Xenopus tropicalis: one gene and its partners. The protein of the gene in region 1 interacts with the protein of each later gene in a pairwise test. Links are inferred from orthologs where the notes say so. Each region holds a gene or a part of one and is shown in the gene's direction. Other genes may lie near its edges. The genes, in order: smarce1, mtus2, ralbp1, trim54, ccdc172, cep63 and meox2.

Region 1 (3,500 bases):
GCCCGGCTTCAAAGGAAAAGTAACACAGCTTTCATTTGATATTATCGGTGCATGTGTGCCCGGCTTCAAAGGAAAAGTAACACAGCTTTCATTTGATATTATCGGTGCATGTGTGGCCGGCTTCAAAGGAAAAGTAACACAGCTTTCATTTGATATTATCGTGCATGTGTGGCCGGCTTCAAAGGAAAAGTAACACAGCTTTCATTTGATATTATCGTGCATGTGTGGCCGGCTTCAAAGGAAAAGTAACACAGCTTTCATTTGATATTATCGTGCATGTGTGGCCGGCTTCAAAGGAAAAGTAACACAGCTTTCATTTGATATTATCGTGCATGTGTGGCCGGCTTCAAAGGAAAAGTAACACAGCTTTCATTTGATATTATCGTGCATGTGTGGCCGGCTTCAAAGGAAAAGTAACACAGCTTTCATTTGATATTATCGGTGCATGTGTGCCCGGCTTCAAAGGAAAAGTAACACTAACATTTTTTAAGTGAAAAGGCTATTCTACCCTGCACCAATAACTGCCCTATCCTGCAAACCCCTTAGTATTTGGAATGCTTTAAAAGAAAATACCTGCTAAAGCTTGGCTTCCTGTCAATTGAACTAAGGAGATACGGTGAAGGAAGGAGCAGCATCCACTATGCGACGATCGATTGATCGAGTCTAGCCTGACTCCTTCCTATACAGAAAGAAGGCTAGGCTGGATCAATCAATCGTCGCATAGTTGATGCTGCTCCTTCCTTCACCGTATCTCCTTAGTTCAATTGACAGGAAGCCAAGTTTTAACAGGTATTTTCTTTTAAAGCATTCCAAATACTAAGGGGTTTGCAGGATAGGGGCAGTTATTGGTGCACAATTGGGATAGGGGTTAAATCCCCTTTAAATCTATGGTGTACATGCAAACACACCCATTCAGGCTCAGGTCTGTCTAATAGAAAGTAAAGTAAAGATATTTTCCCTGAAAATCATGCACTGTGGTGTATAGAGGGGGTGAAGGAATAGAGCATTTCATTGCCATTTGAAAGTATTGATTTGCAGTCAGGCAGGAAAATGCTGATATAATCACTATATATTCGGTGCTTATCATTTCTTTATTTTTTTTTTTGTTTTTATCCCCTCTTTAGATTGAGTACAACGAATCAATGAAGACTTACCACAACTCTCCTGCTTATCTTGCCTACATCAATGCCAAAAGCCGGGCTGAAGCTGCCCTCGAGGAGGAAAGCCGCCAGAGGCAGTCGCGCATGGACAAGGGGGAGCCGTACATGAGCATCCAGCCGGCCGAGGATCCGGACGGTTAGTGACCTTGTCTATCTATAAAGCTTGTGTACCAAATCTACCTGTAGGATATCAGACGGCCTGACATCTAACAGGGAGGCAAAGACTCAAAAATAGGTGTCTTTTATAGTGGCTAAACTATCATGGATGTGATAGGGGTTTTTCCCTCTTTATTAAAAGAGGTTTGTTCTAAGCGGAACACAACACAGAAACCCCTAATATCCCTATCCCTGTAATCTGTTCCTTCAAACAGTAGGAATAAATACCATTTTTATATGCTGAAATCCAGCTGCAAAACTGTTCTTCTCTTTCTGCATCATTTGTAATCCTGGCAGGGGAGGAGGGACTAAAACACTGATGTTACAGATTGTAACAACTTCCCCACAGCTTACAGACAGCATGCAGGAACTACATAACCCACAATGCATTGCACTGGGATGTTCCTTTCTTTATTGACATCACGTGTGCAGCAGGGAATTGTGGGATTGGGAGGAGGCAGGCTGAGGAACAGGTGCTACTGTTACAGTTTATTTGAGTCACAAAGTAGTCAGCCAGATCAGCAGGGGAACAGGGGGCGGGGCTTAGGGAACAGGGGGCGGGGCTTAGGGAACTGCTCCAAACCAGATTATTACATTAAACATCAAGAAAAGGCTGCATATTTTATAATGTTTATTGCAAAGTTGCTTGAAATTATATTTACTTTTCAAAAAGTTGTGTTTGGGTGGAGTTTCCCTTTAACAAACTCGCAGCCAAAATGTCAGCAATTTAACAAGAATCTTAAGTATAGTTTGTAAGTACATTAATATAGTTATGACTGGCTAATACCGTGTTACAGCTCCCTCTTGTGCCCAACAGAAGAACTCTCAGTAGCTGCTCAGGAATGTTGGGCTTTCAGCACATCCCAATTATATTGCTGTTTCTGATCTGTAGGAATAAAGCAAGAGCTTAAAGGGGAAGGAAAGAGAAGTAAAATCACAATTACTAGGGGCCGCCACAAGTGAGACACCCCCCAGTGATTGTATTCACTTACCTAATACCCTGGTCTGGGGCTCCTATTAACAGAAAACTGCCCTGGCACGTGTGGTTTTCTGCTAACGGGCACTGGCCTGGGGTATCTGGGTGGGTTGGGGGGCGCTAACTTTTGTCGCCCCCAGCAGTTGTGACTTTAAATAGGTAATTTCATTTCATTTTCAGTTCAGAAGCTCTCCAGTTTGGAGTTTCAGCAGCTATTTGGTTGCTAGGGTCCAAGTTACCTTAGCAACCAGGGATTGCTTTGGATGAGAGACTGATATATATGATTAGGAGAGGGACTGATTAGAAAAGAAAGTTAAAAATCACAATAAAACTGTAGCCTCACAGAGCATTGTTTTTTTTTTTTTTTGTTTTTTTTTTCACGGATTGGGTCAGCAACCCCCATTTAAAGAGCTGGAAGAAGGCGGCAAACAATTGAAAAACTATAACAAATAAATAATGGAGACTTATGGCTTCACGTAGGGCAGTTTCAGCTCTTTGGTGCATTATAAGCACAGCCAGAAATTGCTCTCTGATTGCCTGAAAGCAGTTCCTGCAGTCACAAAGTCCCTGTCAGATGTCTCTTGATTTTCCAGCCCTTTAAAATATATTGGATAAAGTAACTAAATTTATTCACTGTTAATTTGCTTCGAAGTGTAGCCATTTTTTCTAAAGTTAGTTTAGGAAGGGAGTGCAGGTTTGGGATCCATTATCCAGAAAGCTGTAAATTACGGGAAGTCCGTCTCCCATAGACTCCATATTAACCAAATAAAGGAAATTAATTAAAAAAAAAAAAAAATGGAATTTTCTCTGTAATAATAAAACAGTACCTGTACTTGATCCCAACTAAGATATAATTACCCCTTATTGGGGCAGAACAGTCCTATTGGGTTTATTTCATGGTTAAATGATTCCCTTTTCTCTGTAATAATAAAACAGTACCTGTACTTGATCCCAACTAAGATATAATTACCCCTTATTGGGGCAGAAGAGCCCTATTGGGTTTATTTCATGGTTAAATGATTCCCTTTTCTCTGTAATAATAAAACAGTACCTGTACTTGATCCCAACTAAGATATAATTACCCCTTATTGGGGGCAGAACAGCCCTATTGGGTTTATTTCATGGTTAAATTATTTTTTTTAAAAGATTTAAGTTATGGAGTTCCAAATTACCGAAAGATCCTTTATCTGCAAAACCCCAAATCCTGA
Region 2 (3,500 bases), on another chromosome or scaffold:
AATTATTACTATTTATTAGGTTTGTTGTATTCCCTAGGACAGTTATGACACCTTCTAAATAGTAATATTGATGCAATAACATGCCACTATGTCACTTTTCTAAAGAGTTATGAGTCTGCAGTGAAGAAAGTAAACTGATGTTTTTCCTAACAGAACTGAACCTCCCTTTGGTATTTAGTGTAGGGTAAGTCCATATAAAGCATTTAGAATTTTCATAAATATTAGGTAACGCAACAGAATAGCCATGGATCCACCTGTATATGTATCAAGTTCAAGGATATTTTACATTGCTATCCACCACAGCTCTCCCAAGAGAGTAAATCTTCAGTTATTTATTTTGTTAGGTAAAGAAGCTTTACTGAATTGCAACTGGATTGGTTCTTAATGACATGGCATGGGTTATATGGCTCATTAATATGTGATTTATTTAAGAAATAACATTTCTATATACCTGTTCTTTACGATACAGGTATATGGGTGCTGGAAGGCAACTCTGAGTTCCATGACCTGGTCATAGAACTAGTCAGTGACTTCTTTCAGTAGGGTTTATATTTAGCATATCACAGTGAAAAGAAAATCCTTCAAAGTTGGATCAGCAATGTATTTGGGTTGGATGCAGCCCTATGCGGATTCAGTCATGTGAAGTCTGTGCCAAATGTCAAAAACTTTAAAGAGTAGGGCACCCCCCTCAGATGAGAGGATTTTTTTAATTTAAACAGCTTTGTCCCCCTTAATCCACATCCAGGGTTACTCCCCTAAAGCTGTTACCCTAGACATGAACCCTCGGGTGCTGATATAGAAAATACATTCCAGTTTGAAGGTTGAAGGAGCAGGAGAAAAATTTTGGTGGCAACAAGAGGGAATGGAATTGTTGGTAGAAAGTGGGGTAGGAGGCAAATAAGTAGGTGAACTTGCTCTGGGAATCAAGTCCATTCTATAAGAGATGTTGTTTAATGAGATTCCAACATAAAATCATGAGAATATGCTTTGAAATGTTTGTTACCCTTTGTACTATGGCAAAAACTTTTAAAACACATCTGTTTCCCTTATGGAATTATGTAATAAATGGTGCCAGGGGCAGTAACTCATAGCAACCAATCAGCAAGTAGCATTGACTAGTCACCTGTTTGAAAACAAATATCTTATTGCTTAGTACCTTGTATTACATGTTGGTTAGTCTTTTATATACTTATGGAGAATCTGTACACTTACATAAATATTCTTCTCTTTTACAGGCTCACACATGCAACATGTTGCACTGAGGCCAACAAAGCCATAAGTCAACGTGGACAGAAATTGAGTTGGCACTAATGTTGAAATATGACGGCAATTTAATAAGTTACATACTAATACAACTGTCTAGAGGTGACACAATTTCAATCTGTGGTACTTATGAAACTGCTATTCCAAAATGAGCACACCTATGGTTTCAAGCAAGGAATGTTCAACTGGAAATTCCATTAACAGCAACCAAGATCAAGTTGACAACAAAAATGTGATCAGCTTAGGTGATAACAATGCCAACCAAATATACCCAACAGGGAAAACTCAGGTCTCAAGCAGCATTAAAAAACCAGGGGGGTTGTCCACATCACAGTCAGATCTTTCCCAGTCATGTGAGGAGCACAGTACATCGCTCACCTCTGGTCAGGATTCTCCATCTGGTGATCAGCCGTTGAGTGATCCAAAGTCACCATCCCTGATAGAAAGAGACATTAACAAACATTTTGTGACTGATGATGCTAAAGGCAGTTTAAAAACAACTGGAGCTTTTGATGGACATTCAAAGGCTGATGGACATTCAAAGGCGGGTGTGCTTGACAGAAGTTTGGTGTATCCTCAGAGCAGAGTTAGTGACTCTTCCCTCATTATGTGTAGTAATAACACTGGTAACCTATCACACAATGAACAGGTTAAAGGAATTTCCTTTCTGAAATCAGGTATGGTATCGACAAAATCAGAAACTTTTGCTAAAGGTCGTATTTCACCAACGCCATGTTTGATCTCCCCACCCAAGTATTTACAGATGCCAAATCACGGGATTAGGGCAACTAATTCATCAATACCAGTTGACCATTTATTTGGATTCTCTTCCCATACACACAGTTGCGGCTCAGAGGAAAAAAAGATTGTACTTTGTTCCAGGTCACCTACCTCAGATGTCCCTGAATTATCACTAGGCGAGGGAGCCTTATCAAGTGGTAATAAGCCAAGCACACTACATACCAGTCCCACAAGCACTGACCATCATTTAAGAATCCCTTCTAAACCTCAGGTAATTTTTAATATAACAGAAGCACAATTATATCAGGGTCAAACACAAAAAACTTCAGAAATTTCAGATTCCAACTTATTACAGTCTAAAAGAATTTGTCGGCACAAACAAGACCAGAGTACGATGACTGCAATTTCAGGTACCAAGACAGCAGGCAATATTTCCGAATCCAGAACATCTCCAGTTTCAAATCTTTATGCTCCGTTGGGTCATGTAGATATGTCCCAATGTTACAAAGTCATAAACCATGAAGACAAGAGTTTCGGTAGCAGCCCTAAATTATCTCATTTTAGTCTAGCACATAAGAAGCCGGATGAATATGCATCTGATATGGGGAGAGAGCTAAGCACCAAGCCTCTTATACGAAAAACAACATCACTCAGCGATTCCCTGGATAATAAACCACTTCTACATAAAGACAGAGGTTCACTTGAAAGTTTTCTTTGCCAGGACAGTGACAATAATTTTGTTTTAAGCAGCAACATGGCTTCCACAAAGGATAAAACGGCTTTAGTTGAGAGCAAAAAGGCAATTGTCGGGAGAAAACATCAGTCAGATGGTTTAAAAGGCAGCATGAAAGACAGCCAGAAGGATCTAACTGATACCTTTTCATGTGCTCCCATTTTACCAGGCCTCGTGACTGCAGTAAATATTAATGATCAGTGCATTGCCTCACCGAGCAGCTCTGTGGATCTTAATGCTGTTCATGTTGACAGATTGTCACCTTCCTCAGTTCTGCCACCTTTTGATGGTACACAAGTCTTAAACATTTCCCCTAAAGCCACTAACAAATTGCTTTGTAGTAGTGGAATTCCAAAACCAATACTAATACATTCCAAGCCTTGCCTTGCAAGTAAAGCTGATACGGACACCAATGACAATGAAAAGCCAGAAGAAGCACCTGAACCAATTCTAATCATCCCTAAACCCAAGCATGTCCGACCTAAGATTATTACCTACATTAGAAGAAACCCTCAGACAATAGACAGACTTCCATATGGTCCAGTAGGCATGCCTTTTGGTTCCCCTGCTTGCAATGTTCCAATGGCAAGAGACCATGAGGTCTTAGGCAGTGACATTAATGCTTCCAATGTCCTACTAGATAAATATAAAGCAGACCTGCAGAAACAAAGAATATATGCCGCTGGTTTAATGGTGTCTGGAATAAGGCCTCCTGGACATCATTTTGGACAGATTAATGAAAAATCAATAGACGAGGTAAGTG
Region 3 (3,500 bases), on another chromosome or scaffold:
CCAGTTACATTGTTTTAATGTTGCTAGTCATGATTTTTCTTTACATGCCCTGGACAGTAAGGGGTATATTTATCATGCCATGTAAAACGTGGAGTGAAGCATTACTGGTGATGTTGCCCAGGGCAACCAATCAGCAATTAGATTTCAACAGTTAGAAAATCAAAGCAAAGCATCTGATTGGCTGCTATGAGCAACATCACTGGTAATGTTTCACTCCACTTTTTAGGGCTCTGGCACACGGGGAGATTAGTCGCCCGCGGCAAAACTCCCTGTTCGCGGGCGACTAATCTCCCCGAGTTGCCTTCCCCTGCCATCCCACCGGCGAACATGTAAGTCGCCGGCGGGATGGCAGACGCGGCGGGGCGATTTCGGGAAATCGCCGAAAAAGACTCGCGAGTCTTTTTCGGCGATTTGCGCTAAATCGCGCCGCCGCGTCTGCCATCCCACCGGTGACTTACATGTTTGCCGGTGGGATGGCAGGGGAAGGCAACTGTGCCAGGTGACATCATTAAGCGTCAGTAATAATGGTTTGATATATAAGAGCCTTGAATATCTTAAAAAAAAAAAACAGGGCTAACTTATTTCATTAGGGGGGTTAAAAGTCACCTTGGAGTTTCACAACATGTATAAAAGCACTCAGACTTATATATATAGTGAAAGGTAATCCTTCCTGTAAACAGTGCTTTACTATTTAACCCTTTGTGTCACTCGATATAGACTACAGTGCCAGCATAAAAGTACCATTATCCCAGTGCCATAGATTTTACAGATCCAGGTTTCTCTTTGATCTGTGCCACGCCACGTGTATCTTTTCAAGGTGCTTCTTGGCAAGAGCAAAGAGAAGCCACCCTAACTTATAATGCACCTGGTATTTCTCTTTGCTGCTGGTTTCACACATTTCTGGTGCTTCTGAAGGCAAAATAACTGTAGAATTCACTTGCTTTGGGTTGCTATGATTCATACATCAAGATGCTCAGCTTTAAATGGGTAAAATATAGTCCAAATTACATGCCATAGCCCATTTTTTTCTGCTTTGAAATTTGCAGACTGACAGTCTGGTTACAGATTCCTTTTTCTTTAATTGTGTCAGACGCCCAAAACTCGCCCATGCTAACAAAAATAGTTTCTTGCAAACGGTTGCAGTTTTTTCCTGGTTTATGTCTTAGTATTTAATGAATTATGTCCACTTTTAACAACTGTATCCTAATGCACACCCTCTAGTCTATCATTTAGGCTTTGCTCAGATACATGGGAAATGAGTGTATGAAACCAGTGCATGTTCATACAGATGCAGAAGCCTCACTATCTGTGTGACTTATAACCGGTACACCCACATACACACACCGCTGGTGCTAATTAACTGTGCATTTAGATATGTGAAATCCTAATATGTCCCTCTTTTTCATGGTTCATGTAGGCAACACGTATGGTTAATTAGTACTAATATGGTAATAAGTACTAACAATGATTAGTAAGGTTACCAGATCATTTGAAATATCAGGGCCCTTCTGATAAATGCAGGTTTCTGGGCCTCAGATTGAATTTATTACCATGAACAGATAAAGGTTTTCCGGATAAAGGGTTTTTCTGCAATTTGCATCTCCATACGTTTAAGGGCTCTGGCACATGGGGAGATAAGTCGCCCGCGACAAATCTCCCTTGTCACGGGCGACTAATCTCCCCGAACTACCATCCCACCGGTGAAAATGTAAGTCACAGGTGAGATGGCACCCGCTGCGCAGGCGATTTCTGCAAATCGGTGAAGTTGCCTCGCGAGGCATTTTCGTCGATTTGCCGAAATCACCTGCGCAGCGTGTGCCATCCCACCGGCGACTTACATTTTCGCCGGTGGGATGGCAATCCGGGGAAAAGTTTTTTGTAGATTTAGGGCTCTGGCACACAGGGAGATTAGTCGCCCGCGACAAATCTCCCTGTTCACCGGCGACTAATCTCCCCGTGTGCCAGGGCACTAAATCTACAAAAAACTTTTAAACAATAAATGAACCCAGAAGGATTGTTTCCATCTGATAAGGGTACAAGGTACTGTTTTATTACTACAGAGAAAAAGAAAATCAATTTTTAAAAATTGAATTATTTGATTAAAATAGAGCCTATGGGAGATGGCCTTCTCGTAATTCAAAGCTTTCTGGATAATGGGTTTCCTGATGAGGAGTCCCATACCTAAGTAAATGCAAGACCTGTGCCGTATTGTGCATTGGAAAATGTGTAGCAGAAAGACTTCTTTGAGTGTAAATGCAATTTGTGTGCAAATTAGAAATGACATGCAGCGTAAGTAATCTGTATATCGGTGCTGGGGAGTAATCTGTTAATCATGCAGTGGAATATTATGGATTATTTAACATTCACAAGTGTCACTATTGCTCGCTCACCCCTATCACTCACATCAGCTATTTTAGGCACAGGAAAGTCTCACTGCAGTAGATATATTTCTAGTCTAATTTTTGCTAATTAATATGGGATTGCTAAATACGTATGCGCTGTTAGTAGGTTCTTACCAGGTCTGTGACAATAAAGCCTATAACCTTATTTTACCGCATTTATTTTAATCCTTTCTTTTCAGTTTTACAATCTGTTTCTCCTCCTCAGATTAGTAACCGTGTCCTGTATGTGTTTTTTACACACGTCCAAGAGCTCTTTGGCGGAATCCAGATAAAGCGAGTGATTAAGCCTTTGCGCTGGTCTAACATGGCAACCATGCCGACATTGCCTGAAACACAGGAAACAATCAAGGAGGAAATTCGGCGGCAGGTTTGTCTTCATGGTTTTAGTAATTATGCCATTATCATTAGTTATACAGACACAACAAGTACTTTCCTTCTTTATTTAGAGGCGTATAACTCTTGTATTTTACACATTATGCCTCCTTCAAAATTTACAAATATTGTCCTAATTTTCGATTGTAAGTTCTAAGGCAGCATAGTTTTGTTTTCACACTTACAACTTTCCTCTTCCTCCCCATGTTAGGAGTTTATTTAACTACAGGCAATACACTCTATAAAGGAGCCATGTCTTTCCCCAGTTGTTTGAGACAGGCTTACAGATAAGGAGGAGTTGATTACTTTCTACCCCACCTATTGCTCTGAAGAAGCAGAAGGTTGAACATGGCAATGCATTGCCCCTTTAAATGTTTATATATCACGTGGTGTGCTACATCACAAAGGGCTTAGGTCACCTATTTCCCTTTTCAAGGGATCAGAACCCCACTAATTTAGTGCTTTGTATAGCTCACCTTATCTCTCTTAATCAGTGTAATGGGCAACACTGATAAAAATATTATAATTCTCTATATATTCCAGAGACCAGTGCTATAATGCTTGCTTGGATTTATCAGACATTAGTTTAGCCTCTTTTGTACATGGGACTAAATTTTTAATTGCCTCTATAAAAGCATTTTTGGTGTCACATTGTCCAGCTGATGGTGTTATAAATAAAAGCAGCCTTGATGTTTGTGTAATATTACCCACATTCATTTCTGTCAC
Region 4 (3,500 bases), on another chromosome or scaffold:
GGAACAAGATGTAGGAGACTCCGTAAGGAGGAGGAACAACATGGAAAGAGTCAGTAGGGGGAGGAACAAGATGTAGGAGACTCAGTAGGAGGAGGAACAACATAGAGAATAGTCAGTAGGGGGAGGAACAAGATGTAGGAGACTCCGTAAGGAGGAGGAACAACATAGAGAAGAGTCAGTAGGAGGAGGAACAAGATGTAGGAGACTCAGTAGGAGGAGGAACAACATAGAGAATAGTCAGTAGGGGGAGGAACAAGATGTAGGAGACTCCATAGGAGGAGGAACAACATAGAGAAGAGTCAGTAGGAGGAGGAACAAGATGTAGGAGACTCAGTAGGAGGAGGAACAACATAGAGAATAGTCAGTAGGGGGAGGAACAAGATGTAGGAGACTCAGTAGGAGGAAGAGCAACATAGAGAAGAGTCAGTAGGGGGAGGAACAAGATGTAGGAGACTCCGTAAGGAGGAGGAACAACATGGAGAAGAGTCAGTAGGGGGAGGAACAAGATGTAGGAGACTCCGTAAGGAGGAGGAACAACATGGAGAAGAGTCAGTAGGGGGAGGAACAAGATGTAGGAGACTCCGTAAGGAGGAGGAACAACATGGAAAGAGTCAGTAGGGGGAGGAACAAGATGTAGGAGACTCAGTAGGAGGAGGAACAACATAGAGAATAGTCAGTAGGGGGAGGAACAAGATGTAGGAGACTCCGTAAGGAGGAGGAACAACATGGAGAAGAGTCAGTAGGGGGAGGAACAAGATGTAGGAGACTCAGTAGGAGGAGGAACAACATAGAGAATAGTCAGTAGGGGGAGGAACAAGATGTAGGAGACTCCGTAAGGAGGAGGAACAACATAGAGAATAGTCAGTAGGGGGAGGAACAAGATGTAGGAGACTCCGTAAGGAGGAGGAACAAGATGGGGAAGAGTCAGTAGGAGGAGGAACAACATGGAGAAGAGTCAGTAGGGGGAGGAACAAGATGTAGGAGACTCCGTAAGGAGGAACAACATAGAGAAGAGTCAGTAGGGGGAGGAACAAGATGTAGGAGACGCAGTAGGAGGAGGAACAACATAGAGAATAGTCAGTAGGGGGAGGAACAAGATGTAGGAGACTCCGTAAGGAGGAGGAACAAGATGGGGAAGAGTCAGTAGGAGGAGGAACAACATGGAGAAGAGTCAGTAGGGGGAGGAACAAGATGTAGGAGACTCCGTAAGGAGGAACAACATAGAGAAGAGTCAGTAGGGGGAGGAACAAGATGTAGGAGACTCCGTAAGGAGGAACAACATAGAGAAGAGTCAGTAGGGGGAGGAACAAGATGTAGGAGACTCTGTAGGAGGAGGAACAACATAGAGAAGAGTCAGTAGGGGGAGGAACAAGATGTAGGAGACTCTGTAGGAGGAGGAACAAGATGGAGAAGAGTCAGTAGGGGGAGGAACAAGATGTAGGAGACTCTGTAGGAGGAGGAACAACATAGAGAAGAGTCAGTAGGGGGAGGAACAAGATGTAGGAGACTCTGTAGGAGGAGGAACAACATAGAGAAGAGTCAGTAGGGGGAGGAACAAGATGTAGGAGACTCTGTAGGAGGAGGAACAAGATGGAGAAGAGTCAGTAGGAGGAGGAACAACATGGAGAAGAGTCAGTAGGAGGAGGAACAACATGGAGAAGAGTCAGTAGGAGGAGGAACAATATGTAGGAGACTCAGTAGGAGTCATAGCCCCCATGATGGCATGGCCGTGCTGTCGAGGCCCCGCCTCATCTCCACCCCCATGACATCACCCCTGCCAGGCTTTCTGATCCGGCAGGGGTGACAACTCTACAACAAGGTAGGACTATTGTTGAAGCCCCTGTGTATTTGAGGGTAGAATTGGCACTGGGTGTTGGTTCTTGTCTGGAAGTGGTTTTAATGTATTAACCCAGGAGAAGGCCTCTGTATGTAGCATTGGTGGTAAAGTGCTGCATGTTATTCTGTATATAGGGGGGCAAAATCTAATTGGTGTCCTTCTGCCCCCAGGCCTCCAATCCTCTGTGGCAGTCACGAGGATCCAGCACTGTCTCCTCAGGGGGGCGATTTCGCTGCCCTTCATGCCGCCATGAGGTGGTGCTGGACAGACACGGGGTGTACGGGCTACAGAGGAACCTACTGGTGGAAAATATCATTGACATTTACAAACAGGAATCGAGCAGGTAAGTTCTGTGGGATTGGGACAGGGGCATTTATTGGTGCATAACGTACATAGGAAAGGGGCATTTACTGTGTAAGAAGGAGATTGGCTTACCTGGTAAATCCCTTCTGCGTAAGCCCATACTGTCAGTCTAGTTAAGCTCCTCTCTGGAGGCTGGACAACCCCTCAATGATCTTGCGAAGCTCCTCCTCTTCCTGTGTCTCCCTCTATCCTATCCAAAATCAGATGGAGAAGAGTTAAACACAACAAACCTGTCGAGTCAAAGTGTTTCGGGAAGGCCAGGTACCTACAGGTAGATAGTTACAGGTAGATACTACTCCTTGTGAGGCAACACCCCCGAGGGAAGGCTCAAGCCAAGGATAGACAGGGAAAGCCCCCCCCCCAGTCACCCTGAGGAGCGGGGCAACACCCCGAGGGAAGGCTCAAGCCAAGGATAGACAGGGAGAGCCCCCCCAGTCACCCTGAGGAGCGGGGCAACACCCCGAGGGAAGGCTCAAGCCAAGGATAGACAGGGAGAGCCCCCCCAGTCACCCTGAGGAGGCGGGGCAACACCCCAAGGGGAAGGCTCAAGCCAAGGATAGACAGGGAGAGCCCCCCAGTCACCCTGAGGAGCGAGGGCAACACCCCCGAGGGAAGGCTCAAGCAAGGATAGACAGGGAGAGCCCCCCCAGTCACCCTGAGGAGCGGGGCAACACCCCCGAGGGAAGGCTCAAGCCAAGGATAGACAGGGAGAGCCCCCCCAGTCACCCTGAGGAGTGGCGGCAACACCCCGAGGGAAGGCTCAAGCCAAGGATAGACAGGGAGAGCCCCCCCAGTCACCCTGAGGAGCGGGGCAACACCCGAGGGAAGGCTCAAGCCAAGGATAGACAGGAGAGCCCCCCCAGTCACCCTGAGGAGCGGGGCAACACCCCCGAGGGAAGGCTCAGCCAAGGATAGACAGGGAGAGCCCCCCCAGTCACCCTGAGGAGCGGGGCAACACCCCCGAGGGAAGGCTCAACCAAGGATAGACAGGGAGAGCCCCCCCAGTCACCCTGAGGAGCAGAGCAACACCCCGAGGGAAGGCTCAAGCCAAGGATAGACAGGGAGAGCCCCCCCCCAGTCACCCTGAGGAGCGGGGCAACACCCCGAGGGAAGGCTCAAGCCAAGGATAGACAGGGAGAGCCCCCCAGTCACCCTGAGGAGCAGAGCAACACCCCCGAGGAAGGCTCAAGCCAAGGATAGACAGGGAGAGCCCCCCCCCAGTCACCCTGAGGAGCGGGGCAACACCCCGAGGGAAGGCTCAAGCCAAGGATAGACAGGGAGAGCCCCCCAGTCACCCTGA
Region 5 (3,970 bases), on another chromosome or scaffold:
TCAAGCCACTTTTGAACCAGAAACAGCGGCAGAAGCGCCTGACCTGGGCTACAGAGAAGCAGCACTGGACTGTTGCTCAGTGGTCCAAAGTATGTCATTCGGAAATCAAGGTGCCAGAGTCTGGAGGAAGACTGGGGAGAGGGAAATGCCAAAATGCCTGAAGTCCAGTGTCAAGTACCCACAGTCAGTGATGGTCTGGGGTGCCATGTCAGCTGCTGGTGTTGGTCCACTGTGTTTTATCAAGGGCAGGGTCAATGCAGCTAGCTATCAGGAGATTTTGGAGCACTTCATGCTTCCATCTGCTGAAAAGCTTTATGGAGATGAAGATTTCATTTTTCAGCATGACCTGGCACCTGCTCACAGTGCCAAAACCACTGGTAAATGGTTTACTGACCATGGTATTACTGTGCTCAATTGGCCTGCCAACTCTCCTGACCTGAACCCCATAGAGAATCTGTGGGATATTGTGAAGAGAAAGTTGAGAGACACAAGACCCAACACTCTGGATGAGCTTAAGGCCGCTATTGAAGCATCCTGGGCCTCCATAACACCTGAGCAGTGCCACAGGCTGATTGCCTCCATGCCACGCCACATTGAAGCAGTCATTTCTGCAAAAGGATTCCCGACCAAGTATTGAGTGCATAACTGAACATAATTATTTGAAGGTTGACTTTTTTTGTATTAAAAACACTTTTCTTTTATTGGGCGGATGAAATATGCTAATTTTTTGAGATAGGAATTTTGGGTTTTCATGAGCTGTATGCCACAATCATCAATATTAAAACAAGAAAAGGCTTGAACTACTTCAGTTGTGTGTAATGAATCTGAAATATATAAAAGTCTAATGTTTATCAGTACATTACAGAAAATAATGAACTTTATCACAATATGCTAATTTTTTGAAAAGGACCTGTATATACACACTATACATACCCCATATATGTCAATATTAAAGTTATTTCCCAGCCCCCTCAAGAAACAAACAGTTGCATTCTCCCATTCCTGACTGAGGAGTGAATATCTATTATATATTTATTCACTGGGAGAACAAACTTTTGATTCTTTTGTGAAAGTATTCATGCTATATCAATAAATATATATATATATATATATGCAGTTTCCCTGCAGTTTTGTTGTTTCCTGTGTGTTGCCCTGGCAACGAGGCCTAGCTAAGCCAGTGGGAGGGCCCAGGCCTGAATCCTGTCAGACATTTTGTTGCAGTGAAGAGGAACATTAGTCTATAAGGAGAGGCAGGAGATATAGGGAGACATCACAATGAGTCTGGATTCCCTGCTCCAGTACATTTTGCTGACAGAACAGCAGGCCTCTGAGATGAACCGACACCTACGAGAGGGTGAATATTACCTCTGATATTACAATATCCACCCCTATAAAGTATAACTGTTATCAAGCCATGCAAGGTAAATATATACTATTATCCCCCACATGTAATAAAAGCCACCAAGTTTGCCCAGGAGCAGTAACCCATAGCAACCAATAAAACAGGTGACCAGTAATTTCTTCTTGCTGTTTGGTTGCTATGGGTTATTGCTCCTGGGCAACTTAGCACCTTTTATTACATAACCCCCATGTCTGGTTTAAAGGGGAAGTGGTGGTAATTCTGTTGTAATAGTGGGTAATGTTGCCACCTGTCTGGTATTTTATCAGCCTGGCCTGTAAACATTAACCAACGCCAAAAGGGCAAACGTTTCAAACTATAGGAGGGCTGGTGTATTTCCACCTTTTAAATTCATGTTCAGCAATTTCCAGTAATTCATAAGTCTCTGTGTATAGCTGTAATGAGTCCGTGCATTGGTGGTGCTACATTTGGTACAGGTATGGGATCCCTTATCTGGAAATCCATTATCCATAAGGTTCCGAATTATGGAAAAGCCATCTTCTAAAGGCCAATTCTAATTTTTAAAAATGATTTCCTTTTTCTCTGTAATAATAAAACAGTACCTGTACTTGATCCCAACTAAGATATAATTACCCCTTATTGGGGGCAGAACAGCCCTATTGGGTTTATTTAATGGTTAAATGATTCCCTTTTCTCTGTAATAATAAAACAGTACCTGTACTTGATCCCAACTAAGATATAATTGCCCCTTATTGGGGCAGAACAGCCCTATTGGGTTTATTTAATGGTTAAATGATTCCCTTTTCTTTGTAATAATAAAACAGTACCTGTACTTGATCCCAACTAAGATATAATTACCCCTTATTGGGGCAGAACAGCCCTATTGGGTTTATTTAATGGTTAAATGATTCCCTTTTCTCTGTAATAATAAAACAGTACCTGTACTTGATCCCAACTAAGATATAATTACCCCTTATTGGGGGCAGAACAGCCCTATTGGGTTTATTCAATATTTAAATTATTTTTAGCAGACTTAAGTTATGGAGATCCAAATAACGGAAAGATCCCTTATCCAGAAAACCCCAGGTCCCAAACATTCTGGATAACAGGTCCTGTACCTGTACTTCAGCTGCTTATTAAACCAGCTGAGACCTCCATAAGCGTCACAAAGATTGCACGGTGCAAAGTTAGTTATTATGTGTAGATACATGCCCAACATGGCTGCCTAACATCAACTGTTTTATCCCGGGCCTTCGGGTGGGGCAATCAATGAGGGCACTTGGGGTGCAGTGATGACGATAATAGGGTGGGGAAATGGACAGATTGGGCAGGGGAAATGGGCTGTGGTGGGGAAATGGGTGGGCAGTTAATATTTGTGTATTATGTTTAAAGTTAAAGGAAAAAGAAAGCCAAAGTCACTTGGGGGTGCCAAAATGTTAGGCACCCCCAAGTGACTTTGACCACCTACCTTTTACCCCGGGCTGGTGCCCCTGTGAGGAGGGAACAGCACCAGCCCGGGGTAGCTGCCGGCGCTTCCTTCCTTCTGTTTCGCTGCGCGCGCATGCGCAGTAGAGTGAAAAGCCGAACTTAAACATTAAAGTCGGCTTTTCACTCTACTGCGCATGCGCCCACCGCTGGCATTCCGGAAAAGGAAGCCAGAACACGGAAACGATCCGCTCCAGGTGCCCCGGGCTGGTGCTGTTTTCTCCCAACAGGGGCACCAGCCCGGGGTACGAGGTAAGCGGTTAAAGTCACTTGGGGGTGCCTAACATTTTGGCACCCCCAAGTGACTTTACCTTTCGTTTCCCTTTAATGGTTTATATGAATATACATCGTTATACTGCCACCTAGGACCAAGGTCATATTGCAAGTTGTTTACTTCTAAGTCTGTAGACCCTCCCATCCCCTTCCTTATATGTGATGTCAGTTCCTCCCATCATGCCATTTATGTTCCTGCTTTCCATGTGTGAGGAGCTACTCCAGGGGTTGGGAAAGCAATATTCCTTTTGACCTCCGGCATTTGTTTATCCAATCCAACGTTTGTTCACCCACAACAAATAAAGAACCTTTGTGGATTCCAAGTGCCTGGTGAGTTCTGCTATCTGGCACATATTGCCCACAGTGGCTGTGCCCAGCTCCATACAGGCCCAGGGAGAGGGGTCTCAGGGGAAACTCAGAATAGGGTGGAGCAGGGAAATGGGCGGAGTGGGGTTGGGCATGTTCTTATAAGGGTAGTGGAGCCGTTGAGAAAAGAGAGGGATTTATAAAATATTAAAAATTTACCAGCAGGGGGTCAATAAAGACATGGGGTGGGGAAATGGGCAGATGGCGTGGGGAAATGGGTGGGTGGAGCAGGGAAATGGGTGGAGTGGGGTTGGGCCTGTTCTTATAAGGGTAATCGGGCAGTGGAGCCGTTGAGAAAAGAGAGGGATTTATAAAATATTACAAATTTACCGGCAGGGCGGGTGATGAGGCCATGGGGTGGGGAAAGGGGCAGATGGGGTGAGGAAATGGGCGGAGTGGGGTTGGGCCTGTTCTTATAAAGGTAATGGGGCAGTGGAGCCAGTGGGGTAAGAAAGGGATTTATAGAATATTACAAATTTACCGGCA
Region 6 (4,129 bases), on another chromosome or scaffold:
CTGGCTACCAATGCATTAGGGGGGCCCTGCTGGCAACCAATGTACTAGGGGGGGCACTGCTGGCTACCAATGTACTGGGGGGGCACTGCTGGCTACCAATGTACTGGGGGGGGCACTGCAGGCTACCAATGTACTGGGGGGCACTGCTGGCTACCAATGCATTAGGGGGGCCCTGCTGGCAACCAATGTACTAGGGGGGGCACTGCTGGCTATCAATGTACTGAGGGGGCACTGTTGGCTACCAATGTACTGGGGGGGCACAGCTGGCTACCAATGTACTGGGGGGGCACAGCTGACTACCAATGTACTAGAGGGGCACTGCTGGCTACCAATGTACTGGGGGGGCACTGCTGGCTACCAATGTACTGGGGGGGCACAGCTGGCTACCAATGTACTGGGGGGGCACAGCTGGCTACCAATGTACTGGGGGGGCACAGCTGGCTACCAATGTACTAGAGGGGCACTGCTGGCTACCAATGTACTAGGGGGGGGCACTGCTGGCTACCAATGTACCATGTCTGTGAGTCCTTTGTACTGGTGGGAGGGGGGCCCAGAAATTTTTGTTGTGAGGGGCCCCGTGATTTCTGATGGTGGCCCTGGGTGTCCGCATTGTTACCTCAGCCAGGTTGTGGCACCTGCTATTAGGCTGGAATTGTAGGAAGGACTTGGCATTGTGGGTAAGAAAAACAGGCTGATGCACTGGGATATTCTGCTGATTTAGGCTCAGTAAGTCCTGTCTGGAATAACTTTGCACTGAGAGGAATATTTCATAAAGAACTAGGGCTCACATTGTGCCACAGTGAAACTACGCAGCTCTTACACAAGTGTATGGGATAGTTTTGGAATTTATCAGAGTGACCCCTCACTTCCACTGATATATATACAGTATATGTCCCTAAGAATCCCTATACAAGTGAATAGAATGCAGTGGGGCTGCACCTAGCATGGATATCACTGGCCCACCTACACTCTTGGTTAAAACATCCTTATACAGACGCTTGAAAAATCTATAAAAATCGTGAGAAAATAAACCCTCGAGTGCACTGGGCACAGCAGGGACTTTCTCTGGTCACGTTTCAGGGTAACTTATATAGGGTACCGGCCCAAGTTCCCATGATATCTATATTTACAACTACATGTTCTCCCCCAAATTCAACCTTTGGCGGGGCTCTCTAAAGTCTGGAAACTGCTGCCCCAAACACAACGCTCGTCCACTAAGCAGAGGCAGATTAGGAGACTGTTCACGCTGTAACTTCCAGGACAATGCCTCTGGTTACGAATGTCCCAGTACGGCTACCGTAGGTTTGTTTGAAACAGCCCGCCCTCTGCTTCCAACCAATCAGTAACTGCAGCGATCTGTGTACCCGGAAGCGCTCACCCTTAGGATCGGGGACTTTAGCGCGCAATGGGGATCACATGACTGTATGTTCCCTACAGTGTCATTTGGGAGTTAGCCCTTAACCTCCCCGCTTTTTCTCGTCTAGGCTGCCTTGCTGGGGAGGTAAGGTCGTCTGCTCTTCCTGTTACTGTGCCGGTCTCACCGCCATACCCGGTCCCTCTACTGACTGACTATGGGACGAGGAAAAGACTTATTTGATGCCTCTATTTTCAAGTGCGGCTTCTTTTTGCTATCAATGGGCGTCGGTGAATTCATATATAGTTGATTTTGTCAGCCTAGTGCCGTCAAAATAATGGAAACTGGACGTTTGTTTATGTTCCATTGGCTTCCAGCACTGGGGAGAAATGATTCCAAAGTTGTTAAATGAGCAGTGGGATATTAAACTTTCATTATCGCAATAGTTCCCCTTTAAACATCTTTTCTGAAGGAGTTTCAGGGTTTTGGGGCTACATGTCCTGCAAACACAAAGGAATGGAAAGGAAAGGACACCAGTCTGGGAATGGGGCTGGGCGAGTTGGGGCTTAGGGAGATGGCAAGTACAGGATCATTCCCTGAGCGCCCATGTATCACTCACAGCGCTGATCCCCCCAGCACAGACTGTAACTTGTGGACAGAATATTTTTACAAAAAATGCATTATCACATTCCTTTTAAAGTCGACAGAATGTAAAGTTATGGTGTGAAATTTGTGTGATATGGTGCCCAATCCTGTATCTTGTGCAAACAAGCCATCGTGCACAACATATGTACAAGCTACATCATGCCAAATAGGACATTTCTTAAATATATTCAATTAAAGATTTTGGAGCTTTTCTGAAATAATCAAGTGACTCTTCACTCCCCCCCTCGTCTCTTCATTCTGTCCTCATGCAGGTGTCAGGAGTCTGATTTTGATTGATAAATCTACTATGTCTTTGGGGTGCGGGCTCCCATTCCTAGCAAATGTGTCACAGCTCACTTAAATAATTGATTCTAGCACAAACAAAATGTAACAAAACTGATTTTGGCACATAGCCTGCACATAAAGGGACAGGATTTCTGGTGATTGTGAGAGAGTGAATTCTAAAACATCCTTTGGGGGGTGTTCCTTTTGCCTAAAAGATGTATTAGGCCTAACTCAATCGAAATAAGACTCTCGACTTTAAGAGATAATGAAAGCAGCCTGTCGCTTTGAAATCTCCAATCCGTATATATATATATATATATATATATATATATATATATATATATAAAATAATAATCATCCGTGACCGGCACACCCTTCAATACTTTATCAAAAATTTATTGAAAACATATTGTTTAAAACCGACGTTTCGGTCCTCATTAGGACCTTTCTCAAGGATCCTTGAGAAAGGTCCTAATGAGGACTGAAACGTCTGTTTTAAACAATATGTTTTCAATAAATTTTTGATAAAGTATTGAAGGGTGTGCCGGCCACGGATGATTATTATTTTCTGTGTAGTTAAATTTTGGCTGTGCACCCCGCAGAATATTGAGCCTTGGAGTGCTATTTGGAGTGCTATTTGGATTGATATATATATATTATATATTTTCTCAGATAAAGTCTGCACACAATACTCTTGCCAACTGAAGGTGCACAATCAAAGCTTTATAGAAGATAAAGGACCAGCACTCCATGCATCATAAATAATAATTGTGCTTTTATACTACAATAGTGCTGAAAATTTTCAGCACAATGGCGGTATAAAAGCACTATGTTCTGGCATCCAATATTTGTGAGTGTGCAAACACTCGACCACCGACCATCCAAGAATCGGGTAAAACTTCTCATTTTATTGGAACTTGATTAAAACAAGCTTGATGCGTTTTGTGTCCTGTACTTAGTCATAACCATAAAACCATTCCAATTGTATATCTTAAGGGAAAAGTGCCGAATGATCACACACCCAGATATACAGATGGAATGGTTTTATGCTTATCACTAAGGGCAAGACACGAGATGCGTCAAGCAGGTTTTAATCAAGTTCCAATAAAATGAGATGTGTTACATGATTCTTGGATGGTCTAGTGTTTGCGCACTCGCAAAGACTGTATATCTCAAGGCTGTGCTTCTATAGTTCTTAAGGGGGAAGATGTTGCAATTAGTTGCCACAACTTTTGAAAAAAGTCACAGCAAATAATCTGCCTGTGATTAGTCGCAGCTACTTATACGCTGCCCATTGCGCGATTAATTGCCACAGCTTACTTTTTTAATAGCCATGGCGACTATTCCCCCATGTGTCTATGCCCTAACAGTATATGTAGCACCAGTGGTACTATTTTTCTTGCTAAAATATTTTCTGTGCCCTCTCTGTGTTTTCTAGTAATAGCCATTTGCAGGCTGTTAAATAAACGGAATGGAAGCTTTGTTACAAGGGATTCAGCAACAAGAGAGAATGGGGTGAGTAACCTAAGTTACAGGTTTGGACAGTGGGATCAATTCTGTTAATCGCCCAGCATGTTTTAGATTTGAGGTGAACATTTATTAGAAGTCAGTAATAATTCTAATACTGTTATTATTACTGATATAATAACATTTGTATTTATCTATACCTTGCTTTAAAATTAAGGAGGACTGGTCAATTAAATGTATGACTGTAAGGGGTGAGTCTGAAAACCAATATATAAACATATTTATTTACATCTGCTGCTTTTTTTATAACTCTGTGTTCATCTTCATTAGGTCTTTGCAAGGCTCCTGTGAGGCTGAGCTGCAGGAACTCATGAGGCA
Region 7 (3,969 bases), on another chromosome or scaffold:
ACAGAATGCTCTGAATGATGAGAAGGCCACCTCTCATAGACTGCACTTTAAGCAAATAATTCTAATTTTTAAAAGTGATTTATTCATTCTCTGTAATAATCAAACAGTGCCTTGTACTTGATGGTACCTAAGCTGTGTGAATCCATATTGGAAGCAAAACAATCCTTTTGGATTTATTTGACATTTAAATGATTTTTAGCAGGCTTGAGGTGTGGAGATTCAAATTACAGAAAGATCCCTTATCTGGAAAACCTCAAATCCCAAGCATTTTAGATAAAAGATTCTATGCTGGTACAACAAACTAGGCTTCTGTGCCATAGGTGAAGGGGTTAATGAGTATTTATGCTGATGAATAGAACAATATTGTGTTACTGTGCAGTAAGCAGTACCTGGAGCAGATTTTAGGGACAAACATCTGAAAAACACAGGTGTGACTTTTAGTTGGGAAAACACACATGTTTCCTATTTACTAAGAGGATGTTACATCTTCCTATTTCTGAAAACAATTTGAGGAGAACATTACTCAGGTTCTGCGTTACTCTCGCCAAAAGAGAACAATGTATACTGCTTACTTCCCGCTGTATAAAACTGCACATATATGTCCTATGTTGGTAAAAAGTTATAACCTAGTGCAGCTGGCAGGGGATTCTGGGAGTTATAGATTCAGTAACAGTAGGTTAATGGTGCCTTAGTTAAAGCTATTTATATTGTATCACATTCACTACACAGAACACTAAAAAAGAAATAAAATGGCATGTATTGCTTGGCATGGCACAATACTTTCCAATTGATTTCTTACGGTAGAATGAGCTTTTTGTCATTGTGTCAGTATATGAATTACTAAGACCTGCGTGCAGTTTCTCTATATCCATATTAGCAATGGGCAGAACCGGTTTAAGTTGTACATAGACAGTGCAGTGATGCTGTCGCAACTTGGAAGGATCTGTGAGTGCTAAAGTTTTGGAGAGAGTTTGTGGTCAGTACTGTGTTGCTAAGCCAGCCCCCAGCTCACATTACACACTATTTATATCCTCTCTTAGCTGTTCCCCCATTAAAGCAGCTCCTTGGGACCACCTTCTGTTGGCTTTAACCTCTCCTACTCTTGACATCTGAGCAGCTCTGCAAAAGCTCATCTTGGTCAGAGCAAACTGTTTAAGCACAGGAGACTGGCCACCAGGCTGAAGACCTGGATTATCTGATCTGTACTGAAAGTGTGCCGTTACTGTTTGGGAAAAATATCATTTTACAGTGAAAAGTGACAGCGTTGTGGAGTTTAATCCTGCCAGAATCTCAAGCCTGCAACTTGAAACTTGTATGCCATGGAACACACACTGTTTGGCTGCCTGCGCAGCCCCCATGCCACCTCTCAGGGCTTACACCCCTTTGCCCAGTCTTCTCTTGCCCTCCATGGAAGATCCGACCACATGTCCTATCCTGATTTATCCTCTTCTTCGTCCTCTTGCATATTAACTGGCTATCCCAATGAGGAGGGCATGTTTGGGAGCCAGCATCACAGAGGACATCATCACCATCATCACCATCATCATCATCACCAGCAACAACAGCACCAGACCTTGCAATCAAATTGGCACATTCCTCAGATGTCATCTCCTCCTGCCTCCACCAGACATAGCCTTTGCCTTCAGCAGGAATCTGGACCTCCAGATCTAAGTGGCAGCCCCTCTATTTTGTGTTCAAACACATCCAGCCTGGGCACTAACAGCTCAACGGGTGCAGCTTGTGTGACAGGGGACTATGGCAGACAGACCCTCTCCCCGGCAGAAGCAGAAAAGAGGACTGGCAAAAGAAAAAGTGACAGTTCAGGTAAGGATATTTGTGTTTACAATGTCTGAGCATGCAGCAAAAAGGAAATATATATTAGCTGGTAATTGTGATGCCTTGTATTGGATTAGCACTGCATTGCAGAAAGTGGCACAGCAGTGGTGCAAACCTAAGCAACTGTATGCCTAGGATATGCCATTAGCATCCATGCATACGGCAGCTTCTTCTGACAGTTCAAATTGAGCAGAGAGGGGTTTTTCTGTTGCTCAAAGCTTTGTGTTCGTACTCACTGGCAAATGCATTTAGCAGTGTAAAAAGTACTAGTTAGACACTTGCTAACTAGCATGTATACAATATTTCAGACATGTGCAGCTTGCTAACACTATAGGAATGTTATAAACGCTATGCAAGACATATTATAAGTAAAAAGTTTCTATTTAAACAGGAAATACTTGTATATTACATTACAATACGAACGGGCAGAAATAGTTCCCTCTTTTCAAGTCTTTCCTGGTGTATTCCTATGTAACAATCCTGTCAGTGTCAAAAGAATATCAAATTCCTTTAATAAGCAAGATTGAATCCAAGTATCATTTTTTCATTTGAAATTACAATCTATTTATTGACACAATCCTTCAGAAACCCGTGCTGCACTCCATCCTTATTCAGCCTGATCCAGTATCACTGCAGTATTATAACAAGAAATGGAGATCACTTGTTGACTCCTGTTTCTCTCAGCAGCCAAACTATTACAAATGCAATTTTATGGCAGATAAAAAGACAATTGGCACATTTAGACTGCCCATTCCCCCTTCCTGCAGGAATAAAATAGAGAGATTTCATCCCAGGGAGGGCAGCCTTTTTTGCCCGTCCCAGCAACTGCAGAAAGGTGTTAATTATATTATCAGCTAACACCTCCTCTGGGAAAGCCATATACACAGTCTGCATCAAATTAAGAGTTTAATTAACAAAGTGCAAAGTGATGGGTAATATTTGCTTTAATTCAGTCACATAAGCCACTTCAGTGAAATCAGTTCTTTTGAGCCTATTACATCACTTTCACTGATCAGAATCTCTGGCAGACCATAATAATATATACATTTTTAATCCGCTGCATATCAATAGTGATATGAATAACTACCAATCAATATCTAGAACTGAAAAAGTCAAATGATTCATAACAGACACCTTCCGTCATACCTGAAATACCCCAAACAGACATGAACACTAAAATCCTCTTTTCCATTTCCATTTAAAATGGCAAATTCTAGTAAAAGAAATACAATATACGTGATACTTGCATATCAGTAGCATAAGAAATGAACATAGTATATCACACTGAATATAAACATAACTGAAATATGTATTATATGTTCCAGTTCATTGGTGATTTCGATGCTTATCATATATATATTTATATATATAAAGTGGAGTAGCTTTATCCTGCTATTAGATGATGGCGAGAGATAAGTGCAACTATATTAACTCACTAATCAGACAAGTGGTCAGTGGAATAAGTGAAAGCGAAGTCATAATTGGAGATGACCTGCTTACCATTCCTAATTAAGTCTTATGAGATATTCTGATTGGGATGAATGGTTATTCAATAATTATAAGACATGAATGACAAATGAGTAATTCGTGACATATGTTTGACCTTATTTTTTCTTCCAGGCTTGGGGCTTTAAACAAGACAACTTTTCAAAAGTTATTATTCCAGTGTTTAATTAGTCTGTCTAGGCTTGCAATGCTTTTAAACCTCTCCCCCCCCTTCTGTTTTGTCTGTTTAGGGAAGATAACATTGGCAAGCGTTTAAAGAAAATAAATTACCAGGAAATCTATACCTAATCACAGAGCAAAAATGACAAACTAGCTTCATTAACCACGGTGTATCCAATAACTGGGTCCTGGCGAATTTGAGAAACTGCTGTTCTTTCTTTTAGAGTCACTTCACAAACAATTGTTTTAAGGGCATTTGGTTTCTGGAGAAATGAAAGGATGGCTTTGTGAAACAGTATACCTATCCAAATTATACAATCTAGAGTCAAAGTTAATGGCCCGGACCGTGTCCTATCCATTATATGTGCATATTTCGACATAGAAAAATCTAAACTATGGGCGTCTAGGGGTTGCTGAACTGCAATCATCAGCCTTTAGCCTTAGGCTGTGACGAGAATGCTGTAGTTT

The links.
Region 2: the proteins of smarce1 (region 1) and mtus2 interact in binary tests that used the Homo sapiens proteins (3 or more experiments, as listed by UniProt). The two-hybrid records come from large-scale screens. The link is inferred for Xenopus tropicalis from reciprocal best matches to the Homo sapiens genes SMARCE1 and MTUS2.
Region 3: the proteins of smarce1 (region 1) and ralbp1 interact in binary tests that used the Homo sapiens proteins (3 or more experiments, as listed by UniProt). The two-hybrid records come from large-scale screens. The link is inferred for Xenopus tropicalis from reciprocal best matches to the Homo sapiens genes SMARCE1 and RALBP1.
Region 4: the proteins of smarce1 (region 1) and trim54 interact in binary tests that used the Homo sapiens proteins (3 or more experiments, as listed by UniProt). The two-hybrid records come from large-scale screens. The link is inferred for Xenopus tropicalis from reciprocal best matches to the Homo sapiens genes SMARCE1 and TRIM54.
Region 5: the proteins of smarce1 (region 1) and ccdc172 interact in binary tests that used the Homo sapiens proteins (3 or more experiments, as listed by UniProt). The two-hybrid records come from large-scale screens. The link is inferred for Xenopus tropicalis from reciprocal best matches to the Homo sapiens genes SMARCE1 and CCDC172.
Region 6: the proteins of smarce1 (region 1) and cep63 interact in binary tests that used the Homo sapiens proteins (3 or more experiments, as listed by UniProt). The two-hybrid records come from large-scale screens. The link is inferred for Xenopus tropicalis from reciprocal best matches to the Homo sapiens genes SMARCE1 and CEP63.
Region 7: the proteins of smarce1 (region 1) and meox2 interact in binary tests that used the Homo sapiens proteins (3 or more experiments, as listed by UniProt). The two-hybrid records come from large-scale screens. The link is inferred for Xenopus tropicalis from reciprocal best matches to the Homo sapiens genes SMARCE1 and MEOX2.

What each region holds. Positions count from the first base shown.
Region 1 is NC_030686.2:8,351,395-8,354,894, forward strand, and holds part of smarce1 (SWI/SNF-related matrix-associated actin-dependent regulator of chromatin subfamily E member 1), read left to right. Parts: intron 1-1,124; coding exon 1,125-1,296; intron 1,297-3,500. UniProt on the Homo sapiens protein: Involved in transcriptional activation and repression of select genes by chromatin remodeling (alteration of DNA-nucleosome topology).
Region 2 is NC_030678.2:154,663,722-154,667,221, reverse strand, and holds part of mtus2 (microtubule-associated tumor suppressor candidate 2), read left to right. Parts: intron 1-1,235; 5' UTR 1,236-1,411; coding exon 1,412-3,493; intron 3,494-3,500. UniProt on the Homo sapiens protein: Binds microtubules. Together with MAPRE1 may target the microtubule depolymerase KIF2C to the plus-end of microtubules. May regulate the dynamics of microtubules at their growing distal tip.
Region 3 is NC_030682.2:104,596,814-104,600,313, forward strand, and holds part of ralbp1 (ralA-binding protein 1), read left to right. Parts: intron 1-2,607; coding exon 2,608-2,769; intron 2,770-3,500. UniProt on the Homo sapiens protein: Multifunctional protein that functions as a downstream effector of RALA and RALB. As a GTPase-activating protein/GAP can inactivate CDC42 and RAC1 by stimulating their GTPase activity.
Region 4 is NC_030681.2:162,394,851-162,398,350, reverse strand, and holds part of trim54 (tripartite motif-containing protein 54), read left to right. Parts: intron 1-2,007; coding exon 2,008-2,180; intron 2,181-3,500. UniProt on the Homo sapiens protein: May bind and stabilize microtubules during myotubes formation.
Region 5 is NC_030683.2:4,841,080-4,845,049, forward strand, and holds the start of ccdc172 (coiled-coil domain-containing protein 172), read left to right. Parts: upstream 1-1,170; 5' UTR 1,171-1,275; coding exon 1,276-1,354; intron 1,355-3,970.
Region 6 is NC_030681.2:130,322,197-130,326,325, forward strand, and holds the start of cep63 (centrosomal protein of 63 kDa), read left to right. Parts: upstream 1-1,329; 5' UTR 1,330-1,612; intron 1,613-3,722; 5' UTR 3,723-3,755; coding exon 3,756-3,799; intron 3,800-4,081; coding exon 4,082-4,129. UniProt on the Homo sapiens protein: Required for normal spindle assembly.
Region 7 is NC_030682.2:36,891,089-36,895,057, reverse strand, and holds the start of meox2 (homeobox protein MOX-2), read left to right. Parts: upstream 1-1,169; 5' UTR 1,170-1,319; coding exon 1,320-1,824; intron 1,825-3,969. UniProt on the Homo sapiens protein: Mesodermal transcription factor that plays a key role in somitogenesis and somitogenesis and limb muscle differentiation. Required during limb development for normal appendicular muscle formation and for the normal regulation of myogenic genes.